Linked DNA regions of Arabidopsis thaliana. The protein of the gene in region 1 purifies or fractionates together with the protein of each later gene. This does not show direct contact. Each region holds a gene or a part of one and is shown on either strand. Other genes may lie near its edges. The genes, in order: BBC1, AT2G20450, AT1G26880 and AT1G67430.

Region 1 (7,639 bases):
AGAGATTCTCTTCAGAAATTGGTTGCTGCCCGTTTTGTTGAGCGCATTCCTTCTCCCGAACCTGTTCTTGGAAACAAAGAAAAAGAGCCGGCAAAGAGAAGAGGCGCTAAAGCTGCCAAGGTAATTGATAATTTCTTTCTGGTGTTTGGTATACCTATACATGGTCTGATATATCAGACCTACAAATTGCAGAGACATGACTCTCAGTTTTGATATTATTTCTATTCTGTTCGATATTAATAAATCTCTTGGAACGGTGTAGATTCTTAAAGAACCAGAAACCTTGGAGGAACAAGTTGTTGAAGCAGCAACTCCAGTTGACGCAATAAGGTTTCCACTTATATTCGAAGAAGATTCCAATTCATCTTTAGCAGATGACAATAGCAACATCACTGAGGGGAAGGTATCAACATTCGTACCATAACCAATCTTGTAATCATACATTTTTCAATGATGTAGCTCTGAATACCTTTGTTGATGTTTCTCATTGAACCGAATATTTTAGCGTAAACAACGTGATGTGGACACATCAGATTCGAGCAGTGGAGTAATTTGGCGTCCTAATTTTGAGGAGTTCATCCACCGCCTTAGACATAAGGTTAGTTATCCGTGTTTCTCTTTTGAGGTTGTTTGATGAGGAAAAAAGCTCATTGGCATTTCAAATTTTGCTTTCCGAATGTCTTACTGTTCCAATCTATTAACCACTTGTTTCTTTGTTTAAGGCGTGTGTGGAGATAGTGAAAGAGCGCCGGGATGAAGGATGTGCCATTGTCTTGAGGGCAATGTTAGAAGTAGGAAGATCGCAAGAGAAGAAGGTGAAAACAGACAATTCGGGTAATATTTGAGTTTCTCACTCATTTTCATTCAATATCTTAACATAATCATAATATGCTGAAGTTAAAATTGTATTTGGTGTGAATTATTTTGCACTCTCCACCAAAAGTCCACCTATGAAGTTCTGTTAACTGAATTTGCTATAATCTTTGAAACAGCTCCAATGTCAGTTGGTTCCATTTATGAAGAAGTTATTAAGACAGAAGCAGGTCGCACTATGTTACAAGAGCGAGTTGAAGCATGCCTTGACCAATTGAGTGCTACGTCTTCTTATCTACCAGCATTTGTGAACGAAGTGAATGATTCATACATAGTTGGTATAGTAACTCCATTCAAAATCTAGTCAAATGATTCTTGTATTCAAAATAATATTATTTTGTTATTTGGTTTTGCAGATTATAAATCCATTATCAGCGTAGCACAGAAAGATGAGGTGCGTTTCATATTTTTCTTTTCTTGATATATTTCTGAAACTAAAAACGGTATCTTTGAGATGTTTCCAGATAGAGGCAGTAGTGATGAGAAGATATGGGAAAGAAGCTTTCAGAATGTTCAGATACTTATCACAGGAAGGGCGTTTTGTTGAGACCGATAAGGTTAATGACTGTTCTTTATGATTCATATAGAAACATCTTAAGTCATAATGATTTCTTAACTTCATCATTTTTTTCTCTCTGTAAGATTGCTGATGCCGCGCTGACTGAAAAGAAAGATACACCGCAATTCCTTTTAAAGATGTGGAAAGACGGATACTTACATATGCAGGTATTCACAGTTTGGAAACCAAATCATTATCAAAAGTAAAACGAATTGGTTGTTACGAGATTCATTGTTGTTATCTTCTGTTCATTTTTGTAGAAATTGGCGGTCACAGCTCCGGGTATGTATACACCGTTTCTGTTGTGGAAGGTAAACAAGTTGATTGTGACAACTCAAATGTTGGATGAGATGTACCATGCGTCCCTTAACTTGAGTCTTAGGTTGGCCCATGAGTTAGAAGCCGAAAAAGAGGTTAGTCACACTGCAAATCGATTAACCCAAATGTGTTTCAAGATGGTCCAGATACTAAAAAAACTGTTATTGCTTTTGTGGCAGTTGCTGTTGTTGCCATTAGATAAACTGGAAGGACCATTAAAGGAGAGACTGAAAAAGGTCAAAGCCAAGAGGCTGTTACTCTCTTCCACTATGTTTAAACTTGATGATGCCATTATGCTTTTTCATGACTTTTAAACTCATACATTCAAAAACTAATTTCTTTTGGTCGATTTAGTTCACATTGTCTTCTAGCATTTTTTTTTTTTTTTTTGACATAATGAGAAGTTGTAACTTTGAAGGTAATTGATACTGTTTCGAGAGAAATGTTGTTTATTATATACTTCAGATTAAGTTTTCAAACTCTTAATCTCTATCAGAAAACCTTCTTTTCCTTTACTATGGTCTATGGCTGATGAGCTTTGGGATGAATTGCAAAATCGGGTTTTGGTGATACAGAGTCTAATGAAGCCTAATAGTCGTCCAAGTCTGAGTTTGAAAAAAAAAAAAAAAAAAAAAAAAAAAAAAAAAAGAGTCGTTTAAGTCTGATTGCCTGACCTCTCAATCCTTCAGTGCAACAGCTTCAGACAGTTCATGGAAAAGTGTTCTCTTCTATCTGTCCAAAGGAGAGATCGATGGGTTTTCAATAATCCGGAAGATATGAAATAATATTGATGTAAACATCATAGACATGTTGAGAACTCTCAATCTCAGAATTCTGACATCTCTTTCCCAACCTCCCCTGCCTGATACTCCTCCACTCAACTATGAGCAAATAGCAGTTGGCTACTCCCCTTCAATATGTTCAATCTTCTATACAAAGGTTTCTTTACTCAGGTTGCTGCACCAATCCCACAAGTCAACAAGGAAGAATTACTCCAAACCATGAACATGAAGTTAAATCTACCCCTAGTAAGTTTGAAATTGCAGAGTTATAAAGGAAGCAACCAGAAGCGTCAATTGTGACCATAAGGAATCATGATTACAAAAGACAGCGTAAGGTTGGAAGATGATAACGGGTTGAACTGCTCAAATGCAGACGAACTGCTATGTCTATTTTGCAGGTTAAAGAGATGCTTTTCGATTGTGTCAATTTAGGCTTAAATTTTTAGACTATAGAGAAAAAAACATACGAAATAAGAGGAAACTATAGCAAGTAGAGATGTGAGATACGGTCTTTTCCATAAATCAAGAGAAGCAAGGTAGCAGCAAAATCAAAGATTTAAGGATAAAAACTGATGAAAGAAAAGACAGTCTGATACACAAAATTCAGTTCCAAAAGTTGATAAGATAAAAGTTTCTTCTACCTAAGAAGAACGACCTCACTTCTTCTCTTCTTTCTCAGCCTCTGCGGCTCTCTTGGCTCTAGCTCCGGCATGCCTCTTGTTAGTGCGCTCAAGGCGTATCTTGTCAAAAGCCTTGAAAGACTTCATTTCTGAAGTCAGCTTGACGAGTTCCATGGTAGGCTTCTCACGTACAATAGGCAAGTAGTCTCCTTGAACTTGGGTAGCATTAGCCAACTCTTCTGGTGTAGAGTCACCAGCCTAACACACAAACGAAAACAGAACAAGTACGAAATCAGTACCAAATCCAACAATTCATTAAACAACTGAACCATAGACCAATTGTTTATAATGATTACCTTGACCTTGCGGGCACGACGCGGGAAAATGACTAACTTGGTCTTGTAGGTTTTCAGCCTCTGGACATTTGTTTGAAGACCCTCCAAAGATCGGTTCTTGCGACGATGGTCAACAGCAATACCAATTGTAGGCGCCAACTTCTTTGGGATACCAGCAGCCTATATTAATCAAACAATCAGATCAATGTTCAGCAAGAAATGAAACATGATACCGATAGTAAAGAAAAATCCAGCCAATTTCAATCAACAATCACAACAATGTTCAGCAGGAAATGAAACACGATAGCTATATATGTAAACAAATAGATAATCCAACCAACTAAGTTCAATAATCATAACCAACAATCCCATCGATATATAGCAAGAAATGAAACTTGATAGTTATATGAATAAATGAAAGAGAGATAGAAATTACAAACCTTGAGCTCTTCAAGAGTGAATCCTTTACCGGTTCTGACCTTCATGTTGTACTTAAGAGTCTGACCATGCACAACAGGGCGGAGAGGTCCAGAAGTTGGACGAGGGAAGATCTTCACAGCCTTCTTTTGCCTCGCTGTGTACAACATAACATAATAAGACCCAAAGAGATTGTAGTGTAAACTTAAAACGAAACATGACAATATCAGAAGTGTTGACATTACTACTACTAACCAATTCTTCTTCTGGTTTTCCTGGCAGGCTGGTTGAACCATGTCTTGACATAATTCTGCCAGTGCTTTTTGAAGTGACCATTGGGGATAACATTGTTGTGCTTCATTTCTTCAACTCAAGCTGCCAAAAAACATCAATCAGACACACTTTAAATCAAATGATGAAACTTTAAACAGCTCAAGGAAATCAAATGATAAAACCTCAAACTTCAAAAACAAAAGACCATCTCAAAGATATAGAGAACATAAATAGAGTAAAACAGATACGAATCTTGAAGTATTTCAAAGATCACTCTTATTAAATCTATACTAAAGGTGAGACTTGTGACAATCTCAAACTCTTAAAGAATCAAAGTTTCGAGAGTTTGTATGCACATTACATTAACAGTCGTAATACAGTAAGGATGTTATCAAAACCAATCAAATAAACGAAAAGTTTCATCACTGAAAGTGTAATATTACTCATTCCAAGGACGATACTTTCTGCAAAATCAATAAAGCATAACAAAATAACAAATCAACGGACGATTTATATCAGATCAATAAAACTCGAAATGAACAAAACAAGGAACTTAGAAAAATCTACAGGAGCTAGCAGCAGAACACACGATGAGAGAAAACAAGCAAGAACCCTACTTATACACAAAACGAGACAGTAGCAACGAAGATAATCAGAGAGACGACAAGTAGAGAGGAGCGAAAACTCACAGAGAGAATCGTCTTCTTGCGCGGCTCTAGACTGAAGTATATCCAAGTCTAGGGTTTACGAGCTTTAAATAGTGAAGACCTAAACTCAGTTTAACTATTCGTTATTGGGCCGGTGGGCCGAAAAAAAAAAAATCAATTTTTATTCTTTGGGCTTGTAAATGTCTTGGGTTTGGATTTTGGTTTCATTGGAAAAAAACGATCCGGCTCGGATTTGATCACTGTTTTTATTCTGTTAGGGTTTTGTATCTAGCCTAGGTGATTCTTTTACTAATCAAACACAAGTGGATATAATTTTGAAGATGAATCTCGTCACCATTATCATATCTAAGCTCTAGCTGGATTCTGTGTGTTCGGCTGCGTTTGCATTTGAGGTTGAAGTGTTAGTAATCTCAAGGATTTTTAGCAAAATTGATGTCTCTGTTAAACGAAAATGGAACAAAAATGGTATGTTTCTTTGTTTCGTCTATGTTTTTTCTCGGAATCCCTTTCATTGTTTTCTTCTGACTTTTTTTTTCACAGCAAAATCGGTGGTGAAGGTTTGAGAAATCGAGGTTTAGTGAATGAGGAGGACAGGATCAGTGAGTTGCCTGAAGCGTTGCTTCTGCTCATATTGTCGTCACTTCCAACAGAAACTGTGATTGCCACTAGTGTTTTGTCTAAACAATGGAAATCTCTTTGGAAGTTGGTGCCAAATCTCAAGTTTGATTCTAAGTATCATTATCATTATACGTTTTCAGATAATGTTTTCAGGTCTTTGATTTCACATAAAGCTCCTGTTCTAGATAGTTTGCATTTGAAAGTTGAAGATAAGGATGATGCTTTGGATGTTGGGATATTGATTGGAATTGCATTTTCCCGCCATATGCGTAAATTTGTACTGAAAATTACATTGCTGGAGGAAAGCTTTGTAAGATTTCCGAGTGCTTGGTGTAGTTGTAATGATACACTTGAAATCTTGGAACTCAAGTATTGCATTCTTTTAGATTTTCCTTCTCTGGTTTGTTTGAAGTCTCTTAGAAAGCTGTATCTCTACCATGTGAGATTTAACGACGAAGAATCCGTTTGCAACCTTTTATGTGGCTGCCCTAGTCTTGAAGATTTGGTCGTGCATAGACATAGCACGACCGATGTGGAGAGTTATACTATTGCGGTGCCATCATTACAGAGACTAACCATATATGATGATTACTATGGAGAAGGTGTTGGAGGCTATGTGATAAATGCTCCTTCTTTGAAATACTTGAACATCGACGGGTTTAATGGTCTTGAGTTTTGTTTGATTGAGAAGGCGCCAGAGCTAGTGGAGGCTAAAATTAGTGCCGTTTTTGAAATAGCCAATGAGAACATTATGGACTCTCTAACTTCAGCCAAATGTCTTTCCTTACACTTAGCACCTTTCAAGGTAAACTTAAGATTTAAGATTTTCACGGGGTTTATCTGTAATTGGGCTAACATTAATGTTCTGTGTTGCCTCATGCACAGATAAAGTATCCTACTGGTAAAATCTTCTACCAGCTTTTATCGCTGGAGCTTCGTGCATATAGCTATGAGTGGTGGAATCTACTTTGGTTCATGCTCGATAGTTCTCCCAAATTACAAATTCTTAAGCTCGTCGATGTAAGCCATTTCATTAGTCAACTAAATTTTGTTTTTCTTCCAGTGAGCTCTACTTTCAAATATTTTAATTGCATTGTTCTCAGCCATATCAGTTTCCTAAAGAAGATTGTTCGGTGGGCTGGGAATGGAGTCGACCCAAATGTGTTCCTGAATGTTTGTTGTTTCATCTTGAGACATTTGTGTGGACAAGATATGAGTGGCAACGAGAAGATGAGAAAGCAGTGGCTACATACATCCTTAAGAATGCAAGATGCTTGAAGAAAGCAACTCTCTCCACAAAACCCATCGGATCTGAAGAGCTCGAGAAGTTGGGAAAGAGACGTGAGATGCTTAACGAGTTGGCTACTCAGGCCAGCCCTTCAAATTCATGTAACCTCGTGTTCGAATCCGAGTAACCTATTGAACTTTTTTATTCTAATGTTTGGCAATTGGCAAGTGTAAAACTCAACTTTACCTATCGATAGGATGCTGGATCTTGGTTACAGTATGAGGAAGAGATTCTAAAGATAATTTAAAGAAAATAAAAGGTAGAACAAGAGGAATAGAGCATAAGCAGTTAAGAGAAGAAATAACATCTCTTATTGGTTTTCTCAAATGTTTTGGAATCATAAGAGGTTTTACTTAAGACAAAAGTTGCATAGTTTTAGGATAGACGAAAGCAAGTCTGTTATAGAAAATGTTGATGAGTTTCAGATGTACACCGCGGAGACAATTCATTTTTTAAAATTAATATATATAAAACTTTGTAAATTATATCTAATTATATAATATTTTTATTTTATAGTTTACAATTGTTATTAAGTAACGTCCTGCCAAACCCGTCCCGCCAAATCCGTCCACAAAAAAAACTATTTATTTTATTAATGTTGATCTTATTTATAATATGTTTATGAATCATTGTCAAAATATTTTAGTCGTTCCGGGACGTTGTATCCACACATTTTTCGCCAATTGGTTAATATATGTTCATTTTTAAAATTTCGAATCACAAAATATGACCAACTTTTTTTTGAGATTTTTTAAAACTCTATATATTATATAATGATGTTAAATATTTTTGATATATTAAACTTTTTATAAATTTAAATATTAATAATGTTTTATGAAGTTTAAATATATAAATAATAATATTTAAAAATTAATATTTTTTGCATTT
Region 2 (7,571 bases), on another chromosome or scaffold:
TCTCCATCAACACAAATTTCTAAACGTAGGATTACTAAATTCCCTGCTCATCTCCAAGACTATCACTGTTATTTTGTCAATAAAGATGACTCACATCCTATTTCATCTTCTCTTTCTTACTCTCAAATCTCACCATCTCATATGTTATACATCAATAACATTTCCAAAATTCCAATCCCTCAATCTTATCATGAGGCAAAGGATTCCAAAGAATGGTGTGGTGCTATTGATCAGGAAATTGGTGCAATGGAAAGGACTGATACTTGGGAGATTACAAGTTTACCTCCTGGGAAGAAGGCAGTTGGATGTAAGTGGGTATTTACAGTGAAGTTTCACGCAGATGGCAGTTTGGAAAGATTCAAGGCCAGAATTGTTGCTAAGGGTTATACTCAGAAGGAAGGTTTGGATTACACTGAGACTTTCTCTCCTGTTGCTAAGATGGCCACAGTAAAGTTACTTTTGAAAGTTTCAGCTTCTAAGAAGTGGTATTTGAATCAGCTGGATATATCTAATGCTTTTCTCAATGGAGATTTAGAGGAAACCATATATATGAAGCTGCCTGATGGTTATGCAGATATTAAGGGAACTTCTCTGCCACCTAATGTTGTTTGTCGTTTGAAGAAGTCCATTTATGGTCTTAAACAGGCATCTCGTCAATGGTTTTTGAAGTTTTCTAACTCTCTGTTGGCTCTGGGTTTCGAAAAACAGCATGGTGATCATACTCTCTTTGTTCGCTGTATTGGTTCTGAGTTCATTGTCCTCTTAGTTTATGTTGATGACATAGTGATTGCGAGTACTACAGAACAAGCAGCACAGTCGTTGACAGAGGCTTTAAAAGCTAGCTTTAAGCTGAGGGAACTTGGTCCACTGAAGTATTTCTTGGGTTTAGAGGTTGCTCGCACTTCTGAAGGTATTTCCCTATCTCAAAGGAAGTATGCTTTAGAATTGCTCACTTCTGCAGATATGTTGGACTGTAAACCATCCTCCATACCTATGACTCCGAATATTAGATTATCTAAGAATGATGGTCTACTCTTGGAGGACAAAGAAATGTATCGAAGACTTGTTGGCAAGTTGATGTATCTGACCATAACTCGCCCTGATATCACATTTGCGGTGAACAAGTTATGTCAGTTCTCTTCTGCTCCTCGTACTGCACATCTTGCAGCTGTCTACAAAGTCTTACAATACATTAAAGGTACAGTGGGTCAAGGTCTGTTTTATTCTGCTGAGGATGATCTGACTTTAAAAGGCTATACTGATGCGGATTGGGGTACTTGCCCAGATAGTCGTCGATCAACCACAGGTTTCACTATGTTTGTTGGTTCCTCTCTGATATCCTGGCGCTCCAAGAAACAGCCTACTGTCTCACGGTCGTCTGCAGAGGCAGAGTATCGAGCATTGGCTTTGGCTTCTTGTGAAATGGCGTGGCTGTCTACACTGTTATTGGCTTTGCGTGTTCATTCAGGTGTGCCTATTTTATACTCTGACAGTACCGCCGCTGTGTATATAGCCACTAACCCAGTGTTTCACGAACGAACGAAACACATCGAAATCGATTGTCACACCGTTCGTGAGAAGCTGGATAATGGTCAGTTGAAGCTGCTTCATGTCAAGACTAAAGATCAGGTTGCTGATATCCTTACTAAACCACTCTTCCCTTATCAATTTGCTCATTTATTGTCCAAGATGAGTATCCAAAACATCTTTGTATTCTCATCTTGAGGGGGACTAATAGAGTAGCTAGGTGTAAATAACCGGTTCTATGTAATTAGTCGGTTTAGCTTGGTTTAGTTATTATACCATACGTGTATATAAGAGAAACAATTGTACACATTATTATTAAGATGAATAAAACTTTCCCTTTCTATAACAAACTCTCTCTCATCGTTTCTTCATCGTGAAAGGTGATTACGATGGCGGTGATGATGATGGCGGTGATGGTGGTGGTGATGGTGGTGGTGACTTTGTGGTGGTGACGACGTTGTAATCGGTACCGGCGAGTTGATTGGTTTTATCTTAAGGTCACTTATGTCTAAAATATAGGAAATACACACAATATCATTGGACTATTTATTTTGGTTAGTTACCTAATTGTAATATTTTTGTATGTTATAAATGCAAATTTCCATTATAACATCTGTTTCATGTTATAATTGGCAGGGTCACTAAAACTGGCCCACAAACCAGGAAAGCAGAAGCTGGGCCATCTCCATTAAGAATTTTGTTGGTCTCATCAGGCCCAATACACCTTGGGAAATAAACACTAGTCCAAAAACAAGGAGATCAGAATAAGGCCCATATCTATTAGGGATTTTCCTAAGCTCGTCAGTCCCAGTAACAACAAACCTAAACTCTGGCCCAAATCCCATAAAAGAAGAAGTTGGCTCATCTGAATTGGGGTTCTGACCTTGCTTCGACAAAACATGCGTCTGTTAACCGGCGACACAACAACACAACAATATCTATAAATATGTATCGTTTTTCTTCAATTCAGAGAATTTCGTTCTCCTCATAGCAACAGCAACATCACGTAACAATTTGGCCTCTAAAGTAAGCAAATGTCCAAATATTCAGCAGCTAAGATTCTACTTGGTTGTAAGATTTTTGAAGATATGCGAACTAAACGAAGAAGAAAAAACTGCATCTACTAAAGATCGAAGTTCATAGGTGGTTTAAAAAGATGACCAGACCAATCAGACCAAGACTTTAGAAAGAAAAACTAAACTAAAATAATAATATCCGATAGCAAAAAAAATTCACTATTTAGTAGCCCGGAATCAGCAAAATTGATATCATAATTTGCACTAAAAAAAACTCAACTTGTCATAATTTGCACTAAAAAAACAGTTGCAAAAATAAGATTTGGTAATGGATCATAATTAAGAAATCAAGCAGCGATCTCCCTTTTTAGCTTAGCAAGCTCCTGCCTCACAATACCAGCCCTCTGCAAAACAATATTCATATATTAGAGGTTATTCAATAACACTAAGATGCGTCTTAATACAATCCAAAACAAACCAGTATCAAACCAAAGATCATAAACCCAAGAAGATGGTGAATGTAGTAGTAGTAGATACAGTTTAAAGTTTAGATAGTATTATTTCTAAACCACAACCGAAAGTGAGGGCAAATGAAGCAGTGAAAACTCATCTGCATTTGCACAAAGTAGAGTTGACTAAAACAACATTGGTGGATACAAAGAAGTAAACCAACCTTGATTTTGGCCAACATGATCTTGAACCTGTCAAAATCATTGAGGGCAGCTCTTCTCTTCTGCACAATAAGTTTCCTACCCCATGAACTCTTCTCCCACTTGTTCTTCACATCTGCATATAACTTTAGAGCTAAGATGACCCAACCCAACCAACAACAAAAAAAGGCCAATAAAACCTACGAATAATCAAAAGTATGCTACAACAAACTCACCAGCCTTCTCCATTGCCTCAATCAAAACCTTCTTCTTGGGAACTCTGTTGATATCAATGACGATGTCAGTAAGAGACAACCTCTTCAAATTCATCTGGATTCTCTCCATGTCAGGGGCATCCACAAGTGCCTAAAAAGGACAAGATAAACAGAAACACTTTAGACAAAACATAAACCATTTCAAAGACTCCTAGCTTCAGCCAAAACCACAAGTATTAAACTAAGCATACAAATTCTACTCCTAGCATCATAACTATTGTATCAATATATATTTCAGTGAGCAATAAGAAGATAGTTACATTGATTACAATACCAAATCGAAAAAAAAAACAGAGCTTGCATATCAAGTTACCCTGTTTTGGTCGACTACATCGACGATAACCACGAGCTTTCCATAATCCTCGCCGTAGTTAACGAGCGCCACTCTCCCAATCTCCACGAATCTCTTAAAACCCTTCACAATCAAACACAAAGTTCTCGAGGTTAAAAACTATATAAATCTGTAAAGATAACAAATTCCAAAGAGAAGCAGCTAGGGCAATAGCAGAATCTTTAAAGTTTTCAGAAACACTAAAATACATGGAATCAAGCGAAGAACATCGCTCACCATTTTGGCCGGCTAGAAGAAACAGATTGGAGCAATTGTGCGGCGAAGAGATTTTTATGTGCCCAAGAGATTATTAGGGTTTTTGATATAAAAGAATTAGGCACATAAGCATATAGAAGCCCACTAACAATTTTAAAGGCCCATTAAATGTGGAGAGATTACATGACGTCGTTTAAGAATACCGAAACCGATCGGTTTAATGTTTGAAATCGGAGCTAATAAAATCGGCTTGGTTCGGTTAAAAAGGAAAGTACTCTGCTAGAAATAGAAAGATGAAAGATGAAAGATGGAAGAAGAAGACGGGCATGTCTCTGAAGATTCCGGCTGTTTAGGATCTCAATCTGTATGTATTTTTCTTTTGTTCGTATTCTCTCTGTAGACAATTTCAAATTGTTGGGTCTAATCGGTTTCTGGATTATCCAAATGATAATGATGATGGTGTTCTGATACTGATTTTAAGGTTATATATATTATTGAGCAATGGGAGCTTCGTCGTTGCAAAAAGAATATATCTTCCTTGTGTTTTCGTTTACATATTTGTAAAGTTTTCATTTTTTCTCCATTCTGATCCTGGGTTTTATTTCTTGAACAGTGGTCTGATGAATCCATGAATGATTTATGTGGGAGATGGATGAAACTATAAGTTTGGTTTGAACAAGAAGAAGGAAGGTTGAATGTTTTGCTGCGGATTTATGTGGAAATCCGGAGGAGAAGATTTGCAAGGTTTCTATCCAGTTAGACCTGAATGTCAACCAGATGTTCCCAGGACCCGTTTTAAATCAAGGGTACCATTCTTCTTCTCAATCACCTGTTTCATGTCTTGATGAATTGATGATACATTAGGTTCTTGTTTGTTTGTTTGTAGCTGATGAAATGATTCATCTTGATATGTAATTTGTCAGGCTGGAAAGACTCTAAGTGCTAGAAGATGGCACGCTGCCTTTACTGAAGATGGCCATTTGGATATGGAAAAAGTGCTTAGACGTATACAGCGCGGAGTGAGTCTACTTTCTTTTCCTGATCTTGTTTCTATCTATATGCTCTTTTTGTTGTTGTTCACTTGGTTTCTTTGCTAGGGAATTCATCCTTCCATCAAAGGCGCTGTTTGGGAGTTTTTGTTAGGATGCTACGATCCAGACAGCACTTTTGAGGAAAGGAACATACTGAGGAATCGCAGAAGGTACTATAGAATTGGTTGATCATTTACTAGTTTTGTAGATGCACGTCATGGCTAACTTTAAATGTTATTGATCATCTAAGGGAGCAGTACGGTGCATGGAAAGAAGAATGTAAGAAAATGGTTCCTGTCATTGGTAGTGGCAAGTACGTCACAATGGCAGTCGTTCAAGAAAATGGGAACCCAATAGACGAATCTTCTGTAGAAAACCAAGGATGGATCGTGAAAAACACTGTTACAGATGAGAGAGTGCTACAATGGATGCTCTCACTACACCAGATCGGTATGCCTTTACATATAAATAAGTTTAGTTCTATCTGATTATCTTCTTATAACCTCTTTTTACATATTCTTGTATATTTTGTTTCAGGCCTTGATGTTGCTAGAACAGATCGGTATCTCTGTTTTTATGAGAATGATCGTAATCAATCAAAACTATGGGACGTTCTTGCCATATATACGTGGTTGAATCTTGATATTGGTTATGTTCAGGGTAAGTGTACTTGCTGTTAACGATTAATCTTTTGAAACTATATAAGAAACAGAACTGATCCACTTTGTCTATTCATGTAGGAATGAATGATATATGTTCCCCAATGATAATCCTCTTTGATGATGAAGGCGACGCTTTCTGGTGCTTTGAGCGGGCAATGCGGAGACTAGTAATAACTAATAGCCTATGACATAACTTCTCATGTTTCATGTCATTACCAGACCATTGTATTCACGGTTTATTGTTTTCTTTGAATTTCAGAGAGAAAATTTCAGGGCAACAGCAACATCAATGGGTGTCCAGACTCAACTGGGTGTGCTCTCACAGGTCATTAAGACAGTGGATCCTCGTCTCCATCAACATCTAGGTAAGAGTGTTTTCCTATCATAAAAACTCTTCTTGTGGTGGGCTAAAACGTGTTAATGTGACAGAGGATCTCGATGGTGGGGAGTATCTATTTGCTATTCGGATGCTGATGGTACTTTTCAGGAGAGAATTCTCTTTCCTTGACGCTTTGTACCTTTGGGAGGTAATGACAAACTTTCTGCATTTCTTTTCTTGGTTCCTGGTTTTACTTGCCGTGATTGTTTATGAAGCCGTAAGATCTTGCTGTGTGTTTATTATCTTCTTCTTTTTTGCGTTATCTGCTGTTTGGGTAATGAGAATAATGTGAGATGGATTATGGTTGCAGCTGATGTGGGCGATGGAGTACAATCCAACCATGTTTGCAACGTACGAGGAACTAGAAAACCGAAACAACGCAGCATCCGATCCCAAGTTACTAAAACGGTATGGCAAGTTTGAAAGGAAATACATAAACAGTGGGCAGAACGAGCAACATCGCAACACGCTTGCTGTTTTTGTGGTCGCAAGCGTTCTACAGACAAAGAACAAACGTCTCTTGAAGGAGGCCAAAGGCTTAGACGATGTTGTTCAGGTCTGTCTCTGTATCTTTTCACTCGTTTCTCTCAAAGCCAAACAAGGAAAAATCAAACTCTGGAACTTCAAAGTTAAAGTTGGTATGCAGATACTAGGAGACATTGCGGGTAATCTTGACGCCAAAAAAGCATGTAAAGAAGCGTTGAAGATCCATGAAAAATTCCTGAAAAAGGTTTCTTTCACTATCACTATAACTTGGGGAAGATATAATATGATATACAGTTATACTAATGCAGATGGTGTTGTTGTGTGTTTCTTGCAGGCTAATAGTAATAAGCAATAAAGATTTGCTCAAAACTTCTACTCGACGACTTTATATATCAAACATATACTAATACAGTTTTTGATCAGAAGATTGTTCATTGCCGGCCAGAAATTTTCTTGAAAGGTTCTGGAAGGAGATTGATGAGAATCCTCTGCTGAATAATTTTTTTTTTTTTTTTTAATTTGTTCATTTTCTGATGTTCTATGTATTTTGTGGTAAAATGTGTGCCGTTTTTCAGTTATACGAATGAACTACGTACGGGCCACTAACCTCTCCTTACATTATTTGACTCTTGGTGATATTTCTTTTTCACATTTTTCTGTTTTGCATGAATGTATAATCTTAAGAAAAATCGTTAAATGTATATAATGATTATTTTTTAATTAAAGTAAATTAATATTTTTATTTGCTAATAGCAAATGACATAGAGACATACAAAAATTGAGAGAATATTTTCGTCAAAAAAAATTGTGTTACAGCATATAATTCACACATTTATTAATTTATGTGATCTATGTGTGAGAATAAAAGAAAATTCATGTTTTTGTACCATTTTCTAAATTAATTTAAGAGTTTAATTAACACATTCTCTACATACATTGAAGTTTACTAAGATTTGGAAAAGAAAAAAAAAAACAGAGAGAGACAAAAGAAAATTAAT
Region 3 (7,261 bases), on another chromosome or scaffold:
AACAAAGAAAATAGGATTGGAAGTTATCCGGATCGGACGACAAGTTAAGCTATTATTAGTTATTAAGATCGCAAGATTTGGTTAGAAGTTTTTGAAGAGTAAATACATATCTCGAACATGGTGCATTTTTGTGTTGTAAAGTAGTGAGTTTGAACGAGTTAAATGAGAAATTTATTGATTTAATTGTTTTGTATATCTATCTTTAGGTCTGAGAAAGCAAAATAAAGTCTTAAGTTTTTGGTAGAAGACATATTTGACAAATATTAAATGCGAGAGATTTTAATATATGTATTTTAGGTACTCCTTTTATGTTTCTTTGATATTAAGTTTAAATCTTAAATTATTGTGTGTGTGTGTGTTTTTTTCTTTTTGTACTACTAATCTTTCTTTTAATAAGTATGTTTATTCAAACAATTTCTCAAAAGTAAAATATAAAATAATTAAATAAACAAAGTGCAAATATTATTTTGAAATTAGTGGACTTCTATTTTCTATAAATTAAACTCATTTGTTATTAACATTTTGAATGATATGGACCACTGCAGGATTCATGGGCTATATGCAGAATCTTCAAAAAGACCAACACAACGACCCTAAGAGCTCTCTCTCACTCTTTTGTTTCCTCGTTACCACCAGAAACAAGCACCGACACAATGTCTAACCAAAAGCAATCAAACACATACCATTTTTCTTCAGACAAGATCCTCAAACCTAGCTCTCACTTCCAGTTTCACCATGAGAATATGAACACTCCCAAAACTAGTAATAGTACAACTCCATCCGTTCCCACTATAAGTCCCTTCTCTTACTTGGATTTCACTTCATACGACAAACCCACCAACGTTTTCAATCCGGTTTCATGTTTAGACCAACAATACCTCACAAATCTCTTTCTTGCCACACAAGAAACACAACCTCAGTTTCCCAGGCTCCCCTCGTCAAATGAAATCCCATCGTTTCTGCTAAACACGTCTTCAGATTCGACCTTCTTGGGAGAATTCACGAGCCATATCGACCTCAGCGCAGTGTTGGCCCAAGAGCAATGTCCCCCGCTTGTAAGCCTACCACAGGAGTATCAAGAGACGGGATTCGAAGGAAATGGTATAATGAAGAACATGCGTGGTTCCAATGAAGATCATCTTGGTGATCATTGCGACACACTTCGGTTTGATGATTTCACTTCAACAATTAATGAGAACCATCGTCATCATCAAGACCTGAAACAGAACATGACATTGCTGGAGAGTTATTATTCTTCTTTATCGTCCATCAATAGCGATTTGCCAGCTTGTTTCTCCAGTACAACCTGATGTATGTGGATAGATTTTCCCATCTCTGCCTTCTTGGCTTGCTTTTTTCAAGCTAGGGTATTTCCTCTTTGTAGGCTTTCTCTTTCACTAAATTAAATCGTTTATTAATTATGCTTCCTTGAGTTTTTATTTTTCACAAGCAACTTTGCTTTAATGAAGAAGGCATGAGGTAAGTCAAGATGAACAAGAGAAAAACTGAATCGAGTTTTACTATATTCAAAATAAAGACCAGTAAGTATATTATTTCTGGAGCTGACTTCATTAATCGCATACGAGACTGTCGTTGTAGAATTCCCAAAAATTGAAGCATAGTTAAGATTTAAGACTCAAAATTGCTATTCCATAGTTGTGTCATGACGCTGAGAACATTAAAGTGCAAGCTTGATTTAGCCTCCGAGAGATTCAGAAATATTATATTAACCAAGAAGGTAATCACAACAGCTTATGTGATATGCATCAACAATAGAACATTAAAGATGAATTCAACAATTCCAAAACTGAAGAGAAGAGAATTGTCGACAAAGTTAAGAACTGATAACAGAATACAAAGCTTAAAAATTGGTCGAGTAACATAGATGTCCTCACATGACTGCACCAAGTCCTATCACTTGAACATAGCCATAATTCCAAAACAGAGAAGAATAAAACATAAAAGCTTAAGCCTTGGGGGCTACTTTCTCCTTAGCCTTTTGGAGTTTCAACACTTTCTTCACAATCTTTTGCTCTTCGACAAGGAATGCCCGAATGATCCTGTCGGAATCCAAAAACAACATTACGTTAAAGAACACCAAATTTATTGTAATAGAAAGATGACTCAAGTAAGATGGACAACAAACCTTTCCCTGACTGCAGAACCAGACAAGACTCCACCGTATGCTCGGTTTACAGTCCTCCTGTTTCTTGATAATCTTGACCTCTTGTACTCAGAGGGCCTCAAGTGAGGGATCTGAATAAACAAACAAAGTTATTCACATAATGCAAAAGGAATATGCCATTGCATAATCAAACATATATAGTTGGGAATAAACTGAAAATTTATGCCAAAGGTGGATAGCAAATCCTTATGTAATACAAGGAACAACTTGAAAGACAAAGTGGCACCGACAATTTAGCTTATGATTTATGTTATGTACTGATGTGGGATTTATCTAATCAGCACAAGACCGTCAATAAGCACAATACTATTAACTAAGTAACATGGTTTCTTGAAATAAGAAGACATGCCCATTAAAAATGAGACTGATCAATACTCAAAACATTCTAAAACACTCAATCTGATTGATTTGGTTATACATAGCCATCAAATTCCTAAAAAATTCAAACTCTTAACTCTATCTAGACCTCAAATCAAGACTCTAGATACAAGAACCATGTAAACCAAATCACACGAAGCCAAATCGAAATCAGAAGACTTACTCCTTGAATACGCTTGCCAGTAACAGGACATTTGGGGCCACTAGCTCTCTTCTTTGTGGTTTGATACACCAATTTACCTCCTGAAATCAACAATCCCAACACACATTACACTATGAAGAACAGATCGGTGATTAGAGAATTATGAGACTAAAGCAGAGGAGATTGAAGATATCAAGGAAGAAGAAGAAGAAGAAGAAAGGGACCTGGAGTCTTGACGATACGGTGCTGGTTCGATTTGGTGGCGTAGCTGTGTCGCGACCGGTAAACAAGACGCTGCACCATTTTCGCCTCCTTTTCTCTTTTAGGGTTTTCGTTTGGAACGAAGAATATAAGGGTGAGACTCCAAACCTAAACTAAGACTACAACTATATGGGCCTTTTCTCATTTTGGTCTTTAATTATGCTCCAGTTAAAGGCCCATGTACAAATAATTAAAAAAAATTCAACTTGTAAAAACCAATTCTATTATTAGCTGCAATTAGAATAAGTATCGTTTGTATGTTGTAGTGAACAGAAACTAGAAACATTATTACCAATTTTTATTTTGATTTTTTAAGAAATCATAGATGCATTAAATTATACGTAGAACTTTAAAAAGATTAATTAGTATTATAATCCGTTTAGTCAAAACACATTCAATTTATTTTATCAAATAGTGTAACAACAAAAAATTTAAATTCATGGCACGTAAAAACATAATCGATACATTTACAAGGGCGTGGTGCAAGCAATTAGAGCAAGCCAAGTAGAGAAATTAATCAAGGTTGGCGGCAAAATTGGGAATTGGAAAATAAATTCATCCAAAATAACAAATGGAAATATAAGGACCAGGCTAGAAAATTTGGATTTTCAACAATTTTGTTTGGTTTGATGATTAGATTTTTAAGGGAAAAAACTAACAATTATGTAAGAATGAGAATCGATTGATATATTTTATGTGTGTCTATATTGCAGTTTTACTTTAAAAATTGGGCAACTTTAATTTAGTTTCTTTTTTTATATGCATTAATAATATATATATATATATATATATATATTTTTTTTTTTTTTTCTTTGAACAAATAATAAATATTTGTATAATAATTGTTTTTTTTTGAAAAAAAGCTTTATAATATAGACTCACTTTTGTGTCACAGCCAGCGACGAGAAAAAAGTTCCATTGGCGTCTAGCTAGGTATCCGGTATCCCACATGGCCACATCTATGGGTTGCTTAAGTTGTTGGTCTTTTTTTTGGGATATTATACACGACGATGAGCATATATCAACTGTTCCAGAAACCGAAAGTTGTCAGATAAACGAAACTAGAATCTGTGCTTTTCCTAACGATTTGCTCTTGCAGATCTTGCATCACGTCCCAACAAAAGAGGCAGTCGCCACTTCAATCTTGTCTAAACGATGGCGTTATGTCTGGCCGATGGTGCCTAGACTCGAATTCAAAGAAGATGACAGCGAGAGCGTGGGGTGGTTTATTGAAAAGTCATTGCAACTCCATAAGGCACCGAAACTAGATAGTTTGGTTGTGGAACTCGGTCCACATTGTCCTGTTGACGTAGATGTCGGAAAGTGGGTTGAGAACGTAGTTAATAGAGGTGTGAAAGAGTTAGATTTCAATCTCCTCTGGACCGCAGAACCCACAGGATTTCCTAAGTGCCTTTACACATGCAACACGCTCGTTGATTTAAGTCTATCCAACAAGATTCTAGTGAACGTTTCTTCCCCTGTTCGCCTACCATCTCTCTTAACTCTGAGTCTTCGCTTTGTGGTGTACAAAGACGAAGAATCTCTTGTTAGCCTTTTATCAAGCTCCCCTGTTCTCAACTGCCTGAAGGTGGATCGACATAAGGATGACAACTTGACAAAATTTACCGTGAAAGTATCTACCTTGAAACAGTTACATTATAATACTACTCGGCGGAAGGATGGGGTAGAGGATGAGGAAGACGTGGTAGAGGAAAATGAGGTAGAGGATGATGATGATGTAGATGAGGTAGAGGATGATGAGGAAGGTGTGGTTGAGGAAGTTGACGTAGGTGAGGTAGAGGAGGATGATGATGATGATCTCAATAGATCCTTGGTAATAGATTCCCCTGCATTAGAAATTTTACGCTTACGTAACGTTTTGGACTATTGCTTGATAGAGAATATTTCTTGCCTTCATATAGCAAAACTCGGCTATGTTCATAACCCCGATCACAAGTTTCTGAGATCTCTTTCTTCTGTCATACATATGTACTTGTATTTGACCAAGCCAATGGTACCGATTACATATCTCCGATCCTCTTCTTTTCCTTGTTGCTTAGCCAACTAATGTTATATTTTTTTTTAATCACAGGTTGCGTGGTGTAACACCATCAAGTTCTCTCGGCTCTTGGAGTTTTATTTTGTTCCAAGCAATTTGGTAGATTGGTTGGAACCACTTATGTATTTGCTTCAAAATTCTCCTAAACTACAAATTCTTACGATTGACACTGTAAGTATACCATCCTCCTCCCCTTAAACACAAGTGCATCTAGTTTATAGATGAACTTAACATTATAGCAAATGTATTGATATCAGGATTCTACGTGTCTCCCACCTTCATGGAACCAGCCGAGTTCTTCTACTATTCCCGAATGCTTGTTGTCTCATTTACAGATCTTTAGGTGGGGAGGCTATGGAGGAAGAGAAGATGAGAAATAACTAATGACATACATTCTCGCTAACTCAAAGTGTTTAAAGAGAGTGGCGATCTTTCTCTTAGCAACCTGCAATCTTGAAGAGACACAAATGGAGTTAGAATCTATGCCTAGGAACTCAACATCATCTCAACTTCTAACCTCCTCCCATAAAATGAATATGTTTAACTAGGTACGCTATCATTTCATGATTTCATTCACTTGAACTATTAGGTTATGAGTTCAACCAATAGAGTTTCATATATATTCTTTCTTTCTTTTTTAACAGCATCATGACAACAATTGAGTAGCCACATACTGACTGTCTAAGATTATGATCCATCATGCCCAAAGCCAGCAACAACCATCATGTTATTAACAATTGAGTGAGCTTGTTCACGTAAGTAGGAAACAAAACCTAGATGATTCTTTTGCAGCCAGAAACAATTAACAGAAGGACAAACAGAGAAGTGCTTGGGTGGTGAAAAGGGGAAAGAATGTTTAGAGCCCGTCAAATAGATTTTTCACAATCCATCAAAACTGTTTCATTAAGATCAATTGTCTCCTTTCTTTATACATAAGTTACTGTTTTAAAGCATAAAGAAAGAGTAAATACAGGGGTTTACCTTATTGAACAACATTTTGCTGATATAGTTTTCAACAAAAAGGTCAGAGGTGAATGAACGCCAGAGATTGTCTACTCTATTCTATTTCAATGGCGCTGTATCCAGCTTCTTTTCTCCCTTTATTCAACTCATTATCTAATGATTTTTCTGGGTTCCCTGCAACAGCGTGTGTCCCAGCTAGAAGAATTGCATCTGCCGGATGAGTCTCACCCATTTCAGCCAATCTCATCATCACACTTTCCCCCAAATCTGCATTCCCGTATACTCTACAAGCAGCTAGCAGAGCACGCCAAGCCGTTGAATCACTTGTGATCGGTAAGTTCCTTATTAACTCATACGCTTCCTCTAACTGCCCCGCTCGACCTAAAAGATCAACCACACAACCATAATGTTCAACTTTGGGCGTGAAGCTGTAAGCCTCAACCATCCTCTTAAAGCATCTGATTCCTTCCATTACCAACCCTCCATGGCTACAAGCATTCAGCACAACCAAGAAGGTAATCTCATTGGGTCTCACTTTGCAGTTCTCTTCCTCCATCTTATTGAATAGTGTTACTGCTTCTCTTGCTAGTCCATGAGCTCCATAACCCGAGATCATCGCGGTCCAGGACTTTACATCCTTATCCTTCATTCTATTGAAAATCTCAACAGCTTTTTCAAGCAATCCTACTTTTGCATACATATCAACGAGTGCAGTTCCAAGTATTGCATCCAAAGCTATTCTTTCCTCTTCCAATAGATCAGCAACAGTACGTCCTACGAATGCTGCTTCACTGTACGCACAGGAAGACAACAGCCCAACAAATGTAGATGAATTCGGTTTCATTTTTTCATACTTCATCTGCCTCAGTAGCCATACACACTCTTCAAGGAGACCCGTTTTGGCATATTGGTCTATCATACAGTTCCATGTAACAACATCCTTTCGAATGGCGCAATCAAAGATCCTGCGTGCTGAACTGATACCCCCAGTTTTGCCGTACATCCCTATCAAAGCTGTGATTAAATGCAAGTCTAAATCAAGGCCAATCTTGATGCATAACACATGAGCAGATTCTGCTCCAGACAAATCTCCTAGATCACTAATAGCCGAAAGAAAGCTAAGCAACGTACTGACATTAACGACCACCTCACTTTTTCTCATAATCCTAAACAAATCCAAAGCCAACGCTTTCTTAGAAACCTGAAGATACCCATTCATCAAAGTACTAAACGTAACAGCATCAACACTCTGCGGCATTTCGTCGAACACTTT
Region 4 (7,591 bases), on another chromosome or scaffold:
ATGCACCATTTCGCCGGGATCTTACTTGGTGTAATAGTCCCTGTTCTCTTTGCAGTCATCAGATTGTTCTTTGCTTATCCCATGAGCTGGTTGGTTTTGTATATCGTGTTACGTTGTTCCACGTTTTATTTAATACTTAATAAAGGTGTTCACTCAAATTAATGTGGAAATGTAGGTTTGCTCATTCATACTTAGCTTTCTTGATGTTCATCCCCTGCTCATTTTTTGGCCTTTTAATTCCAAGAGCTATCTCTGATCGTGTCTCACATTTTCAAGGTGTTTCATCCAAGAAAATTATGAAAGTTGTAAAGTCCTTATTCTTTCCTCTTGTCTCATTAGGTTCCCTGTCTATTACTAGAAAATGTCTTCTAACTATGATCTTTTAGGAACCATCTGATGAAGCAAGGTTTTGGGGAGCATTTGGGTTCTATGCTTTTGCAACTTCGGTATGCACTTTTTGTTTTATCGGTTATTTTACCTCAGAATTTGTTGTTTGTTTGTCTGATCGTTGACTAACCGGAGAAACGTTTTCAGGCATATTTTTTCGCTGGATTAAATGGAGGATTCATGACATTTGTCATCTCCATTTCTATGCTACTAGGGTGGATTGCTTTCTATTTGTCAGTCAAGTCCTATGGCTATAATTCGATCAAGTAAGACTTCTAGACAGTACCTAACTTTTGTGAAGTTGATGATTAGTTTAACTTGAATATTCCTTTTGGATCATAGGACATATCTTTAGCCAATAAGATCCTTGTTTATGATAAAGTTCATTTCATCCAGGTCTCCCATGTTTTATGTGATAGCTCTTGTTCCATGCCTTCTGTATTCTCTCTATTTTGGTGGTATTCTTACACTATTATTAATTGAGAAGACGGGAATGATGGGAGCAATTCCACCACCTTATGGTTAGCTTTACTGAACTCAATTCTTTCCAAAAGCATCTCTGGTTCAGCTAAACCGATTGAGAATTTTACCATTAAAACATTTAAATAGCTTGTTGTGATTGCAAGTCTGGCTTTCACTGTGGAGATGTTTATTGTACATTATTTTGGTTTGCAGGATTTTATCTAGCAGATGTAGCAGTAGCTGCAGTCATTGGAATCGTCACCGGCTTGTGTTTGGGTCCAATAATACCAATTTGTGATCGTTGGCTGGCCAAGTCGTCGATCTTGAAATTCTTGCTTCACTTCACTGTAGTCATGTTGGCGGTATCATCACAGTTCTTTCCTTATAGCAAAGATGCACCAAAGAGAGTTGTACTCCAACACACATTCATCTCTACTGGTAGCGTTTTCTCACACGATATGGAACTGTTTTCGCCTTTCGGAGTAATCTTCGTCTGCTGAAATGAAGTAAATGTTTAATGTGCCTGTTGCAGGTGGAAATGAAATCACAGGCTCAAGTTATGATTTAGCTGTCATTGATTCAAATTCTATGGAGTTCATTTTTAAGCATGCTCCGGAGGTGGCAAAGGAACTTCATGTTGGCCCTTCTTTTTCATTGGGAAACGCTGAAGCGTCTCCTCAAGAAGCTTGGATGGTACGTTCATTAGATTCGTTTCTATGTACATGCTATTGGTAAGATAGCAAGTGTTTTCAGTTTTGAAGTAAAGAATTGTTTGGTATCTGCAGGCACTTTTCCCTATTTCATGTGTATTAACAACAAACGGGAGGTTCCCTGCTAAAGCCAACAATATTTTAGAACGATATAGCCAATTCCCACTCCTACAAGCGCATAAACCGCAAACAACATTTGAAAATGGAACTCGCAGAGTTCATCTGGAGCTCTCTCTGGGGTTAGTTGGACTCCATAAAGAACTTCTATTGGTCTTGTTGGTTATTAACTATTCCATTTGCAGGTCGTTGGAGGAGATTTGGGTCACGGTTTTGAACATAACCGGACCGTTATCAGGGTGGTCCTTTGCCGATGGCAAACCTCCAGGTGACACACACAGAACCTCTTTTTCGTTCTCTTAAAGCATTTACTAAAAACCGTAAAACCAAAATGACTAATCGTTGTTGCAGCACCTGAACTCCCACCGGGTGGTCCTCCCTCGTACATATTGAGACTGAGTGGCAACAGCGATGAGAAGTGGAACTTCTGGTTAGAGGCAAGTAGTGAAGAAGAAGTGAGAGTAGATGTAGCTGTTCTTGATCAACGTCTTGATGAAGAAACTATACATTTGAAGGGTCTTTTCCCAAAATGGTCCGATGTCATTGCCTACACTAGTTTTCTTTCTACTTACTTGTTCTGATCGTAGACTATTTCATATTCTCCTTTTGATATTTCTAAAACATTAGAGAATAAATAAATCCGTTCTTAACATGGGAAAGTTTTTTTTTTTTTGACATCGGAACCGCATACTCTATTTATACCTAAATCATACTAACATGAGCAAGTCTTAAGTACATTTTCTTTGTTGATATAGTAATTGTGTACATTTACTTGGTTCTTTGATAATTTATAATCTTATACTTTGATTGGTGCAACTATAGTCTTATATCCTTAATTTAACTTTATCCTTAATTTAACTTCATGATCAAAAGATATAGTCTTGTTTTTTGTTTTGTTGAGAAGTTTCATTAGCATTATTGTCTACCGAGAGTAATACCACAAATTGATAGTTTCTCTGCATTTTTAAGAGAATAAGCTAAATAACGGACCTAAATACAAGTGGTCCTTACAATTGCAATTTGCAAATGAAAAAATTTAAAAGAGTAAGCTAAACAACCGTACTGACCTAAATAACAAACACATGAAAAACCACATAAATAACAAACACATGAAAAACCAATAGAAGTGTCTGTTACAATTACAAAGTCCACGTACATGCCACGAGGTAATGAATAAGTCTAATTGCAACAAAATAAATAATATTGTTTCATATAAATAATTTTTCAAAATATTGTTTTTATTTTTTTCGTTATCTTTTGGACTCAAATATGTGACAAGAGTAAGACTCTATAAACGACAGCTATTTTATCGTGGTGCGCCATCAAATAATGTGTCCTATCATTTCTAAGTTGAGCCACGAAGGTCAACGTTTCCGATGCATACCACCAAAACTCCTCCCTCGTGGTGCACCATCAAATAATCGTCAATCCACTCGTTAATATGTGTGATGATACGCTTATCAGCGATATCAGTAGATGTTGAATCAACTCTTCAGGTTTCAATGATATCGATAGTATACTTAGCTAGTTTCTCCCCCATGAAATCGATAGAGCTTCCTCCCAAGGTATTCAAGATCTTATTGGCTTCTACATATGAAGCAATCATTACTCATGTAGCAAACTTGTTAATCTTCTATATTTTCATTACATATAATATTTTACGTACAAGTAAGTCAAATGACATGACATGACATATGATATAACTGAGTAAGTAAGAAATTACGTATAACAATTAAGTCAAATGACATAGTAACCATTCGTGATTGTTGTCTCATATTTATATATATAAAACAAAAAATGAAGTTTTAAGCAAATGATCTACAACTAAAACAACATACTCCACCAATATATACAAAATACGTACACTTTTTTTTGATAAGTAAGTAGAATTCTATTGAACCTGATGAGAGTTGAGCATAACTCTATTCTTAGACCCGAAAACTACTCACCATGTTTATTTTAGAGATTTAATGATGGATTGGACAGTTTTTAGGCCATATTACATAGTAACAACTAATTTCAACTAAAAGAATGCAAGTTGGTTAGTTTAATACAAAACAAAATAGTGAAAATTGGATCTCTAGCTCATTTTCCGATTAATTAACTTATTTTCAAAAAAATTGTGGTTATAAGAACGAATTAATCAATTGCATTTCTTATAAAAAAAAGTAATGAAGAGAGATTTTACTTACATAAAATAAATACATCTGGCCTGATGAAACAAAAATGAGTAAGGATATCAACCTTTGTAATAAGTAATTGTTAATTACCAATTCATAGTCTTGATGGGCATTATTAGAAAGCCCATTAAAAATGGACAAGGCCCATTTAAACCTAGGTTTCGCAGGGTTTATTGCTTCACTCTTATATAAAAACTCTCGTCTTCACAAATCTCACATCTCTTCTGCAGCCGATTCTTCTATTAGCCGCCATGGTAATTGCTTAATTGCTTAAGCTTCTCAAACTCCATCTCTCTTCTCGCTGATTTGACCTAGAAATCTTCTTCCCTAATTTTCTTTACCCTGTCTTTGCTGATTTCGCAGGTGAAGTACTCGCAAGAACCCGACAATCAGACCAAGTGTAAGTAAAGCTCCTTGTATCAACTTCTTAGTACCATTTCGTTGTTTTGATCTTTGTGGTAATCCTTTGGTTTTGATTTTGCAGCTTGCAAGGCTAGAGGATCCGATCTTAGGGTTCACTTCAAGGTATGTATAGCTCTGTCAATTGTCATTTTGATTATTCGATGTAGTTAGATTTATGATTAGGAGATTGTAGTTTTAGGTTAAACCTGATTGAGAAAAAGCAGAGTTCTGTTGCAATTTGACAGATCTCACGTATACTTCAGGGAAATTGAATTGGTCATCGTGATTGGGTGAATCTATGTTTATATATCTCATAACTATAAGATTCAGTACATGATGGTACATTGATTTATCATTTCACTTTTTGAGGCTTGTTTATTTTTAGGGCTTTTGGTTAATCGCTTAGTATTGCTTTGTTATTGTTCTTATGTGAACCTATGTAGAATTTTAGTGACTTGTTGTTTTGGTTAGTGATTCCACATAATTAATACTGTGTTTTTGAATTTGTTGGTTGGTTCTTATTGTGTTTTGTTTTCTTCGGATTGTGTGAAACAGAATACTAGGGAAACAGCGCACGCAATCAGGAAGCTACCATTGATCAAGGCGAAGAGGTACCTTGAGGATGTGATAGCTCACAAGCAAGCAATTCCCTTCACACGTTTCTGCAGAGGTGTTGGGAGAACTGCTCAAGCTAAGAACAGGCACTCTAATGGTCAAGGACGTTGGCCAGCCAAGTCTGCTCAGTTTGTTCTTGATTTGCTCAAGAACGCTGAGAGCAATGCTGAGGTGAGACGAGCATTCATTTAATTAAGGAAACTTTTTCTTGTTTCTCTCTGTACCCTTTTGCTAATAAGCATATTTTGACTTTGAATGTTCAGGTGAAAGGTTTGGATGTTGATGCCCTCTTCATATCACACATCCAAGTGAACCAGGCCGCAAAGCAAAGGAGAAGGACTTACCGTGCTCACGGAAGAATCAACCGTAAGTTTGAGATTTTGTAAATCACTTACATTGATAGCTTTTTGTAATCCATTGTATGACTCAGTTTGTCTTTCTTGGTTGCAGCTTACATGTCCAACCCATGCCACATTGAGTTGATTTTGTCAGAGAAGGAAGAGCCTGTCAAAAAAGAGGTAATATATATTTCATCTCATTGGAAAAATTCAGGACTAGTGTTAATAACAACAGTGTTCTCATTTCGTATTTGTTTTTGATAATTGTAGCCGGAGACTCAGTTGGCTGCCAAGTCCAAGAAATCAGCAGCTTAAGCTTTCTTTCTTTATTTTCATGTCCCTTGTGTTCTTGAACGAGATTTTGTTCTCTTTTTTCTTTAGCTCGAATCGTTTTGTAAGACAATGGATAGATTTATCTTGGAAATTTTCGTTCTATGACTTATGAAATCAGTGATCATGGTTCTGCAAGTTTTGGTTAGTTCGATAGTTCGATTAGTCAATAATTCAGACAAACAAAAGAGCTGAGAACTTAAAAAGATCTGTACAATCTTTTACATCATGTGACTTAGTTATAGTGGAAACTTGAGTTCTCTCATTGTCTTTTATTCTCATTCTCAATGGCTTGGACGATTGGGTCGTTCTCTATGTACAAATCACTGTCTTCATCTTCGAACTCATCCAGCTCACTGATCATTGTCTGTTTCGTTTTCTTCCTTGACTCTCTCCTATGCTTCTTAGGCATTAACCGTGGTTCAGCATGTTTCACACCCATGTCTCCCACCTTGTACCTGTGTCAAGTATCATTCCAAAGTAAACAACATTAGTGACTGCGACCAATCTCAATCTAAAAATAAAGCTGTTCTTTCAGGAGAAATCCCAACAATACCTAACATCATCTTCCCTTTTGGTTCCAAAAGTCCTAAGCTGAAATTCTTCCCTGATTCTGATCTCATCAAGCAATTGTAAGTAGTAAGGATACCTTTCCCAGTCACCTTTCACAACACATCCTGGTTCCCCAATATGCAAGCAGTCTCTGAATCCACATTTTTCGCTCTCAATCATGTTCCGTATCTAAAAGAAACAATTAAAAAGTAACACATCGTCACAGTCAGCCAATAAGGGAGATTGGCACAAGCAAAAGGGTACAAAGAACAAACCTCAGGAAAACAGTGAGCTAGTGAATGCTTCGTTACTTTCAGCAAACTAGGCTGGTTAAAGCCAGGAGTATCAGCGAGGTAACCACCTTCAGAAACCGGCAGTAGCGATACATTTCGTGTTGTATGTTTACCTCTACCACTTCTACTCGAAACTTCCCCTACTCGCTGATCATCAAACCACTTATTACCTAACATCTGAATATCACAAAAGCTCAACTCATAAGAATCTGGCAAACAAAACTTAAGCTGTAAAATGAAATAACACAAAAGAACCTTACAGGCTCAAACCAATTCTCATCTTCCACCACACCACCACCATGATTACTCCTCAATACGTTGATTAAACTCGACTTTCCAACACCACTAGGTCCAACAATCACAGAAGTCTGATCTCTCAGAACAAACGCAATATCATCAAGTCCATCTTTAGTTCCCACACTACAAAACAATGGTTCATAGTTCCATCCACGCAACCTTATCTTCCAAGTTTCCAATTCCTGTAAACAAGTTTATGATTCTAATCAATCCCTAAACCAACAAAGTGATCTAAAATACAATTTCTTCATCCTCCTTACCTCTTCACTAATGAGTTCAGTTTTATTCAAAGCAAGTGTTAATGGAATACGAGTAGATTCAGCTTCCACCAAGAACCTAGTAAGAGTAAACGGCTCAAGTTTCGGTTGATCCAAAGAGAAAAGAACAAGCAAATGATCAACGTTCGCAACAGGTGGATCCAAAATCTCCGAACGTCGATGAAACACATTCTCAATCATTCCTCTTCTATCAACCCAATCAATAGATCCAACAAGAACCTTATCTCCAACTAAAACTCTCCTTCGTATTTTCTTCAACACAGCTCTCACCACACAAAGCAATTCAACACCAGTCTTTGAAGAATCATTATCATCATCACTCGTCACAGAATTAGCTACATCTTGAACAATGACGCGCATAAAGTTCGCTTGAGCTGTTGCGACAGTACCAATAGCTTGAGACTCTAAGAGCGAAGGTTTATGCTCCGGCGAGAGAACTGGTGACAAGGAGGAGGAGTAATTTTTACCGATGTGCTTCGCTCTGAGCATATTTTTGCTCGGTTGGGGTTTTCTGGAGACATCGGGATTATCTCGTCTTGCTGAGAGAGGAGAAAAGCTGCGAAGGAATTTGAATCTAACTCCAACTCCGCCGTGAAAAATCGCGGTGTGACGGAGGAACGGAGAAGAGTG

What was found.
Region 2: the proteins of BBC1 (region 1) and AT2G20450 fractionate together in Arabidopsis thaliana (co-fractionation; one large-scale study listed by BioGRID). This does not show direct contact.
Region 3: the proteins of BBC1 (region 1) and AT1G26880 fractionate together in Arabidopsis thaliana (co-fractionation; one large-scale study listed by BioGRID). This does not show direct contact.
Region 4: the proteins of BBC1 (region 1) and AT1G67430 fractionate together in Arabidopsis thaliana (co-fractionation; one large-scale study listed by BioGRID). This does not show direct contact.

What each region holds. Positions count from the first base shown.
Region 1 is NC_003074.8:18,163,783-18,171,421, forward strand, and holds BBC1 (breast basic conserved 1), read right to left. Parts: upstream 4,919-7,639; 5' UTR 4,867-4,918; exon of another isoform or gene 4,280-4,866; 5' UTR 4,266-4,279; coding exon 4,160-4,265; intron 4,062-4,159; coding exon 3,928-4,061; intron 3,668-3,927; coding exon 3,509-3,667; intron 3,411-3,508; coding exon 3,189-3,410; 3' UTR 2,926-3,188; downstream 1-2,925. Other genes in the region: AT3G49000 (RNA polymerase III subunit RPC82 family protein), read left to right, coding at 1-120, 263-403, 506-598, 723-834, 993-1,151, 1,230-1,267, 1,338-1,430, 1,516-1,599 and 2 more; AT3G49020 (FBD, F-box and Leucine Rich Repeat domains containing protein), read left to right, coding at 5,297-5,310, 5,386-6,268, 6,349-6,483, 6,567-6,878.
Region 2 is NC_003071.7:8,810,391-8,817,961, reverse strand, and holds AT2G20450 (Ribosomal protein L14), read right to left. Parts: upstream 4,131-7,571; 5' UTR 4,040-4,130; coding exon 4,037-4,039; intron 3,884-4,036; coding exon 3,782-3,883; intron 3,560-3,781; coding exon 3,430-3,559; intron 3,330-3,429; coding exon 3,217-3,329; intron 2,948-3,216; coding exon 2,891-2,947; 3' UTR 2,583-2,890; downstream 1-2,582. Other genes in the region: AT2G20440 (Ypt/Rab-GAP domain of gyp1p superfamily protein), read left to right, coding at 4,711-4,821, 4,939-5,034, 5,113-5,216, 5,297-5,496, 5,584-5,706, 5,787-5,875, 5,968-6,073, 6,138-6,235 and 3 more.
Region 3 is NC_003070.9:9,313,674-9,320,934, forward strand, and holds AT1G26880 (Ribosomal protein L34e superfamily protein), read right to left. Parts: upstream 3,208-7,261; 5' UTR 3,009-3,207; coding exon 2,930-3,008; intron 2,807-2,929; coding exon 2,727-2,806; intron 2,489-2,726; exon of another isoform or gene 2,342-2,488; intron 2,257-2,341; coding exon 2,147-2,256; coding exon of another isoform or gene 2,125-2,146; exon of another isoform or gene 2,061-2,124; coding exon 1,967-2,060; 3' UTR 1,632-1,966; downstream 1-1,631. Other genes in the region: FEZ (NAC (No Apical Meristem) domain transcriptional regulator superfamily protein), read left to right, coding at 546-1,310; AT1G26890 (FBD, F-box and Leucine Rich Repeat domains containing protein), read left to right, coding at 3,916-4,704, 4,771-4,980, 5,059-5,196, 5,283-5,405; AT1G26900 (Pentatricopeptide repeat (PPR) superfamily protein), read right to left, coding at 6,083-7,261.
Region 4 is NC_003070.9:25,258,102-25,265,692, forward strand, and holds AT1G67430 (Ribosomal protein L22p/L17e family protein), read left to right. Parts: upstream 1-4,032; 5' UTR 4,033-4,107; coding exon 4,108-4,110; intron 4,111-4,219; coding exon 4,220-4,256; intron 4,257-4,340; coding exon 4,341-4,381; intron 4,382-4,472; exon of another isoform or gene 4,473-4,605; intron 4,606-4,813; coding exon 4,814-5,044; intron 5,045-5,136; coding exon 5,137-5,239; intron 5,240-5,323; coding exon 5,324-5,391; intron 5,392-5,481; coding exon 5,482-5,526; 3' UTR 5,527-5,756; downstream 5,757-7,591. Other genes in the region: AT1G67420 (Zn-dependent exopeptidases superfamily protein), read left to right, coding at 1-89, 176-305, 387-446, 535-653, 784-908, 1,063-1,287, 1,382-1,542, 1,635-1,944 and 1 more; emb1688 (Minichromosome maintenance (MCM2/3/5) family protein), read right to left, coding at 5,804-5,999, 6,098-6,282, 6,369-6,563, 6,647-6,865, 6,944-7,591.